Linked DNA regions of Danio rerio. The protein of the gene in region 1 binds, or shares a complex with, the protein of each later gene. Links are inferred from orthologs where the notes say so. Each region holds a gene or a part of one and is shown on either strand. Other genes may lie near its edges. The genes, in order: cdk6 and cdkn2a/b.

Region 1 (3,832 bases):
GCAAATGTGCAAATGAGCACATATTAAATTAAATAGTGCCTCATTTGCCTGTTTACAAACATAGTACAAAGCATGATGACTATTAAAATCGATGTCTTCAGTTTGCATTTATTGTGCAATACATTTAATACAAAAGAACTGAACGAACAGAACACGGTGATTAAAATGTATCTCTTCAGCCTCCAGTGTGGTGTTTCTAATGCGCTTCTGCTGTGTAGCTCAGCTCATGTTGGCTGTATAGAGAGTGAAAGCAGTTTTTCTCTCTTTGAGTCAGTATGTGTGTTTTTGGAAACTGACTCTGTGCTTGTGGCTCCTGCTATTTGTGTTCATGCCAAGGGAAGCAGCGTCCGCCTACGGGTGTCCTGACTGGCCCCAAGCCACAAGCGGGTGGACAGAAAAAGCCCTCAGATCTTCTGGGCCTAAGGCTGGCCAGGAAACAACGCATATACAGTGCACCAATGTCTGTTATGTGGCTGCAAGGGCCCTTATTTGTACAGTGGAGCCTATGAGGATTTTCTTTCTCCTTGCCTTCATTGAGACAGGCCAGAGACTGTTCAGCATTATTGCAGAATAAGAAGCTTGATTCTGAACACACACAGGCTTTGTATTGTGAATATGCATGCCTGTATTAAAGGGCGCCTATGATGAAAATCAACTTTTGTAAGCTGTTTGGACAGAACTGTATGTAGGTATAGTGTGTCCACTGTCATATTGGAGTGATATAAACAGAACAAGTCTCTTTTAAAATTTCCTGACGTTAAAATAGGATCCAAAACCCAGTGATGTTGAGGGAGACCGCAATATGACGTAGGAGTGGTTTCCCCGCCCACCAAATTGATTGACAGGCGACAAGTTTCTATGATAACATGTATACAGACATCCACAGAACATTTTTTTGCTTAGAAACTGGGACTAAAATATTTGCTATAAGCTTAAATGTTTTTTAAAACAGAGCATGTAAGTAATAAAGACTAATAAAGTTTACTCGCCATGTAATTCTTAAACAATCTAAACACCATGGCCGCATGGTGTTAGTAAATGCTAATATATGTGTGTGTGTGCTGCAAACAGCATTTGTGTGAGACTCATCCTTTCAGAAAGGCTTGAGTAAACTCCATCACAGATACATGAAATACACTTGGTATTTTTGACTAATGAGCTGTATTTCTGTTTCGTCTGTGTCTGTCTTTATCACTGACTGCTGTTTATCTGACGTAACGCAGGAAAAACAGACACACAGGAAAACAGTAGGCTGGGAGAATCAGCTCTTTTGCATTTAAAGCCACAGGCTACAAAAACAGCTACACTGTACTCAGACACCAAAATGGGCAGATTCTGGAGGCTATAATAAATAATCTGATGGGTATTTTGAGCTAAAACTTTACAGACACATTCTGGAGACAACAAAGGCTTAACTTACATCTTGTAATTAGGGTAAAATAGAATTTTTTATCTTGCATTGACTCAAAAAATGACTTTTACTGCTTGTTCAAAGTATTTAAAATGAGCTCAACTCAATTCTAATTATCATTTAATACTAAATTTTTAGGTTAATTTAAGTCATCTGGATATTTTAATAATTATATTTTAGCCTGTTCATTTCTGTTTTGTTTGTTTGGTTTTGAGTGTAACATTTTATTTTGCTTTATTTAGTTTCATGTTTGTAGTTTCCTAAGAAATGTTCCTCAGTTTGTTTTTTTCATTTTGTCTCTTCATAATTAGTTTGGTTTTATATATATATATATATATATATATATATATATATATATATATATATATATATATATATATATATATATATATATATATATATATATTGTTTATTCAATTCAGTTTTGTTTGTTTACATTTTTTTAATGATTTATTTTAGTTTGTTTAAATCTTGTCATATTTTATTAGTTGTTTTTATTAGCCTGTTATTTTCTGATTTGTTTGATTTAGTGTAATATTTTATTTTGGTTCATTTAGTTTTGTTTTTAATTTTATAAAAAATATATTTTTGATTTATGTTTTGTTTGTCTTTTGGTGTGTTTATTCATAATTTTAAAAATTCGTAAATATATTTAATTTAATTTTGTTTATTTTTATTATTAGATTTATTTTGGTTGGCTTATCTCTTTTAAGCTTCAGCTTAGTCCCTTTATTAATTTGGGGTCACCACAGCAGAATGACCCGCTAACTTATCCAGCATATGTTTTACACAGCGGATGCCCTTCCAGCTGCAACCCATCACTGGGAAACATCCATACACACTCATTTACACACACTTTGGACAATTTAGCATACCCAATTCACTTACACAACATGCTTTGGACTTGTGGGGGATAGCGGAGCACCCAGAGGAAACCCACACAAAACACGGGAAAAACATGCAAACTTCACACAGAAATGCCAATTGATCCAGCTGAGACTCGAACCAGTGACCTTCTTGCTGTGAGGCGATTGTGCTACCCACTGCGCCACCATGCTGCCCTACTTTTTATTATTTTCAGTTAAAATGGGTTTATTTACATTTATTTTAGTCCTTTAATTTTAGTTTAGTTATTATAAATAAAACCTTGTTTGTTACTCCTGTGAAAAGAATAATCAAATTATTAGTAATTTTTATTAGAATTTTTTTATGATGGTGTTTTCATCTTAGGTATTTGTACTGTTGTTTTACTTTTATTGTTAATGTTAATGTTTTTCCCCCTTAGTATTACACTTGATTTACCATTTTGGCTGTAAGGAAACACTGTATAAATCAAATGCATTATTAATAGTTATCAATATTTTTTTTATTCTCCAGCCCTCTTTTCCGTGGGAACTCTGATGTTGACCAGCTAGGCAAGATTTTTGAGTAAGTGCTGTTATGTTATGTTATGTTATGTTATGTTATGTTATGTTATGTTATGTTATGTTATGTTATGTTATGCTATGTTATGCTATGTTATGTTATATTATATTATATTATGTTATGTTATGCTATGTTATGTTGAAGATGTTAGCATCTGATTGTATTGTATTGTTTTTGTTGTGTCAGTGTGGTGGGAGTCCCGTCTCCAGAGGACTGGCCACAGGAGGTGGGTTTGCCCCAGAGTGCCTTCTCTCCTCGCCCTGCACAGCCCATAGAGAACCTGGTGCCGGACATGGATGAGCTCGGCAAATCACTCCTACTTGTGAGTTCATATCAATGTTATATCTCTAAATGCTTAACAATCTTTTTAGATGATTATCATATGAGATTATTACCCACAGAGAGTCTTCTCTGCTTTTATAAAGGTTAAGGAATATGTCAAGTAAATTGTGCTGTAAACCAAATTAATATTTGTTTGTTATTTTATTTTATGCAGTTATGCCTTCAAAAGGGAAGTATTTTATTTTATCCATTGCAATCAATGCAATCCAATGCAATTCTGCATTAAAAATGGTAGTATTTTATTTAAATTTTTTTCATTTTATTTTTATAGTTTTTTTATGCAGTTATGCCTTTAAAAGGGTAATATTTTATTTTATTTTTTTAATTTTAATTATTTTATTTTATGCCGTTATTCATTAAAGTGGTTGTATTTTATTTATTTATTTAATTTTTTTTATTGTATGCTGTTATGCCTTAAAAAGGGTTTTATTTTGTTTTATTTTTTTTATTTTATTTTATGCAGTTACGCCTTAAAAGGGATATTATTTTATTTTAGTTTTTATTTTATTTTATGCAGTTATGCCTTAAAAAGGTATTATTTTATTTTAAATTTTAATTACTTTATTTTATTTTATTTTATGCAGTTATGCCTTAAAAAGGTAGTATTTTATTTTACATTTTAATCACTTTATTTTATTTTATTTTATGCAGTTA
Region 2 (4,408 bases), on another chromosome or scaffold:
TCATGTAAAAAAAAGAGATGAGTGAAAGAAGAAATAGGTTTAAGTAATAGACGAATGAAGTATGTGGTAACGGGGTGGGAAAATAATAGGCTTGTGCTTCATCCCAGTCCATTTTCGAAAATGTTTTTTATTTTATTTTATTTTTTTATGATATTTTATGTATATTTTTGATCCAAAATAAATAAATCAAATCAAAACTTCTTTTTTCCCCCTTTTAATGTAGGAATTTCAACTGTGGTATTAAATATTAAAATGCTCATGCCTATTTACTGGAGTTGTGAAGTAAACTTTGTGCAGGATATCTTTTAGTTACATAGTTCAACTATTCTATTTCTACATGTTGTTTAATATCTATTCAACAAAACTAAGTAAAATAATTCATTTTTAATCGTTGCTTCTATGACATTTAAATTAAATTTTCTATTATTAACACTTAGCCAGTGGGGCTTTGCCAACTATTTTTTTTCTTTAATATTGTACTGCGTTGGTTTGTTATGATTATTTTATTTACTATTTCATATTTTAGTATCTATTTTGCATGCACATTAACCAATATTATTAACATGTTAACAACATCAAAACATGAATAAGTTAGAAAATTAAATACAAAAGCACACTGTTCTTCATTTTAAACAGGTGCATCTCAGAATGTGATTTTTACTTTATGTAAATGATCTACACAGCCACAGGACCCTTTATCTTTTTACTTATTTTCAACGTATTAGAGAGGCAACAAACTCACTGCTAAAATTAAAAACTATTTGCTACAATTGTTTAATACCTTGTTTCTGGATACAGGCTATAGTTTAGCTACAGTCGTGTGATGGGGAAATAGCATTACAAAACTGTAAGTCAGACGATGTTTGGGCAAAATTATGGCCATTCGCGTCCTTTCTATCGTGCAGAAAATAGATTTATGTTCATCTACAATCAAAAACAGAACAACCATTATGAAAAAAATATAAATATAGGCTACCACGAATGTATGTATATGCTTTTTTGTTATAATTTATGTGGATCAAAAATATAGTTTAACTTAAGCGCCCCACACAGCATAATGGCTAAATAATATACTTTAAAGTAGCCAAGTCAAACTTAATCTCTACAGGCCTAGCTAACATCGCGTCTTAATCAAAATCCATAAAATAACTTTACTCTTGAAAAACGAGAGATTTTTCCTGGTAACGTTAGCCTATTCCCGAAGAGTAACTTCTCCATGGCACAAAACCCAATTATGTTAGCATAATTAGCGTTGTGATATGCTTATGTACCCGAAAAAAAGAATAAAAAAACTTCTTGTGATCTAAAAGCAGGCTAATGCCAGTTACATTAGCCATAAAACATTAGCAGAACCTAATTTCTGTTTCTCTGCAGCCTCTCCTACTGTGTCGTAAACTCATGTCTTCCTGACTCAGCTGTTGTGCGCAGGCGCAGTATGACAGTACTGCACCACGGTTTTGCTGTGACGTTTATGACAGAGACAAGTCCGAACAAATATCTCGCTACGAAAAATTATTTTAAGACACAACACTTTGATAAACGAGTCAGTTTCGCTTATTTACGCATTATATTGGAACATGTTATTCATGGAGACCGATAAAAATAAATTACAGCGTTGAACTGATTGTTTTCGCAGTATCATCATCATTTGGTTTTACCTGTGAAGCGAATTAATTTCGAAAATCAATAAAGATGATGAACGTCGAGGATGAACTGACCACAGCAGCAGCCACCGGAAACATTTCCCATGTTCAGTTTTTACTTTCTAACGGAGTGAATGCCAATGTGGTTAACAAATTTAGAAGAACGCCTATACAGGTAGGTTTAGACGCGCTTTAAGAATAAACAACGGAAATAAACAAATGCAAATAAATAAATAAGATTAATTGCAGATATGTAACATTAAATTAGTAACATACAATTCAAAGACTTATTTTGTATTAAAGGTCATATTATTTAACAAATTTAGGCTATTTCATATTTTCACACCTGTTTGACTATATGGGATTTACTTTTCTTTTTTTTTTTTAAATATTAGGCTATTTGTGTATTTATTTTACTCATTTTAGCATGTTTAAGAACCTTTTAGGCTACTTAAACGGCCTGAAACATGTTTACCAATAGCGTGTTATCAACCTATATAATACTAACAACACTTTCTATCTTTTAGTAATGTCATTAATTTTAACATTATAATTTTAACTTATAGCTACATTCTTAGAAATTAGTCCGAAATAAGACAAGGAGTTTTGGATGTATTGTCAAAGTTCAAATTATTCAAAGAAAACTAAAATCTTATTGAAAACGAAAGTCCCAATGTACTATAACTGTGTATAAAAACCAAATGTTTACAATTATATATAAGAGATAGATAGATAGATTTATATACATAACAATAAATAAATAAGACATTTTATAGATCTTAATTTCAGATAAATTTTAAACTATTAAATCATATCTCTATGTGCGAGAAGAATGGCACACTACTTGCTAATTCACTCCCGAAAGCTTTGTTGGCATCGATGGTTTTAAGAAGAACCTTTTGCATCTATGGAGAAAATTTTTGAAAAATGTGCCTTTAAACTATTAAAATGTTTATTTCATTTTTTGACAATAAAAATACTTCTTTTGGAAGCTTTGTAATAGGTTTTCTGTGCGGAACCAGAAGGGCATCACTGCGAAAACCCTTTTCCTCTTATTGCCATGCTTGTTTTTACGAATGTACGTTTAATATTTTGACATTTGTACAGTTGGCCTATATTGACCAAAATAATCAGCCACCACTAGCACAGTCATAGACTAATGGAGTATATATTTTAGACCATACTTATTTTTGCTTGTTTTTATAATCGTGTAGGCCTATTATTATAATATTTGGTGTGAAAGTTTTCATCTAATTTTCACAATGTCCAATGGTTTTACGGTTCATGCTCTCGGTTACGGGACATCAAAAGCCGAAGAGGTAGCCTACAATAAAGTGCGTATAGATATCTTTTAGCACACTTTAAACAGATGGACAGCATACATCCAGAAATCGTAAAAGATTAGGCAATTGTAAAACTTCTGACGAGCATGAATTGCCTCAGAAAAATGTCAATTAAACGAAAGATGTTTAAGAAAATCACAAATGTGAACAAAGCATATTTATGGCATACATTTTATTTAAAATGATTATAGGAATCTTCATAATTAATCATATGAAAAATAAGAATTAGCTACAACACAATTTGTTGCATTTAATTGATTTACTGCCCGTGAATAATTTATTGATAGGCTAAAAGAGTAATGCATCATGCACAGCAATGTTCAGTGCCAGCATGTGCACTGCTTTCGTTCCTATTTAACCAAAAAGTATCTACTTTCCAGATTTCGAGTGATGGCAGTAAAATTATTGATTAAACAAACTTCTTTACAGTGACATCATGACGTTACTGGCGTTTATTTTTTCATGAGACAGCAATTTTCCCCCTCTCCAGGTGATGATGATGGGTAACGCACCTTTGGCTCTTGTGCTGCTGGAACAGGGAGCGGACCCTAATGTGCCTGACCCCGACACAGGGAGCACACCTCTGCACGACGCTGCCAGAACCGGATTCATTGACACCGTGCGGCTTTTAATCCGCTTCGGCGCCGACCCCAATACAAAAGATCACTGCGATTTACGACCAGTGGATGTGGCACAACAGACTGGCAACGTAGACGTGGTTGAATTACTCAATCGTGTTTAAAATGTTTAAAGACTGCATCACTGCATAGCCTAGGCTACTTTAGGTGGTAACCTTATTAATGCACTCAAGTACTTATAATTCTCAATAGCACATGGTCATTCATGTAGTTTGGAGATTCTAATCATTTAAAATTTTATTTCTGTATCTTTTAAGTTTATTTATTATTATTATTTATTATTAGCTAGTCAATGGGAACTTCAATAAAAGGCTACAGACACAAACCATCATACGCTCATGCTAGCCTATAGTTCGCATAATAAAAAGTGTAGACAGCATTATGTCCAAAGATAAATAAATAATTAAATAACATATCCACCTATTTGTTTTTAACCTGAAAAGCATGGCGACAAACATTGAATCAAATGGCTTGCAACGCAAGGACATCCAATATTTTTGGCGAGCTCTTTCTTTTTTCATTTCTTCCGGTTAAACATGCTTTTATTAAGTTTATAATATTGTACGACTAATAAAAATGAAACTTTCTATTTATACCAAGGCATAATTTAAATAATTTTGCTTAACGTGGTTAGCTGTTTGTTAGCTCTGTGTGGTTAAACTGTGTGGGTTAACTGACAAAAGAAACATTTAGTTTGTGCGGGATGTTTGTTAGCCTTTATTCTTAACTGTACTGTAGTGTTGAATTGATAATTGTTTCTTTTTTTCTGGCTACTCAAATACCC

Evidence for each region.
Region 2: the proteins of cdk6 (region 1) and cdkn2a/b are in contact, whole or in part, in a crystal structure (PDB 1BI7), measured with the Homo sapiens proteins. The link is inferred for Danio rerio from reciprocal best matches to the Homo sapiens genes CDK6 and CDKN2A. Residues at the interface, in NP_001138778.1 of Homo sapiens: Glu14, Cys15, Val16, Ala17, Glu18, Ile19, Phe28, Lys29, Arg31, Leu33, Asn35, Gly36, Gly37, Arg38, Phe39, Arg44, His100, Asp102, Gln103, Asp104, Thr106, Thr107, Asp110, Lys111, Gln149, Thr154, Ser155, Leu166, Ala167, Arg168; in NP_000068.1 of Homo sapiens: Thr18, Ala21, Arg22, Gly23, Arg24, Glu27, Asn42, Tyr44, Arg46, Gln50, Val51, Met52, Met53, Met54, Gly55, Ser56, Arg58, Asp74, Ala76, Thr77, Thr79, Asp84, Arg87, Glu88, Gly89, Phe90, Asp92, Asp108, Trp110, His123.

The regions. Positions count from the first base shown.
Region 1 is NC_133194.1:42,948,948-42,952,779, forward strand, and holds part of cdk6 (cyclin-dependent kinase 6), read left to right. Parts: intron 1-2,788; coding exon 2,789-2,839; intron 2,840-3,022; coding exon 3,023-3,158; intron 3,159-3,832. UniProt on the Homo sapiens protein: Serine/threonine-protein kinase involved in the control of the cell cycle and differentiation; promotes G1/S transition. Phosphorylates pRB/RB1 and NPM1.
Region 2 is NC_133176.1:27,775,937-27,780,344, reverse strand, and holds the start of cdkn2a/b (cyclin-dependent kinase inhibitor 2A), read left to right. Parts: upstream 1-1,430; 5' UTR 1,431-1,692; coding exon 1,693-1,818; intron 1,819-3,476; coding exon 3,477-3,728; 3' UTR 3,729-4,408. UniProt on the Homo sapiens protein: Acts as a negative regulator of the proliferation of normal cells by interacting strongly with CDK4 and CDK6. This inhibits their ability to interact with cyclins D and to phosphorylate the retinoblastoma protein.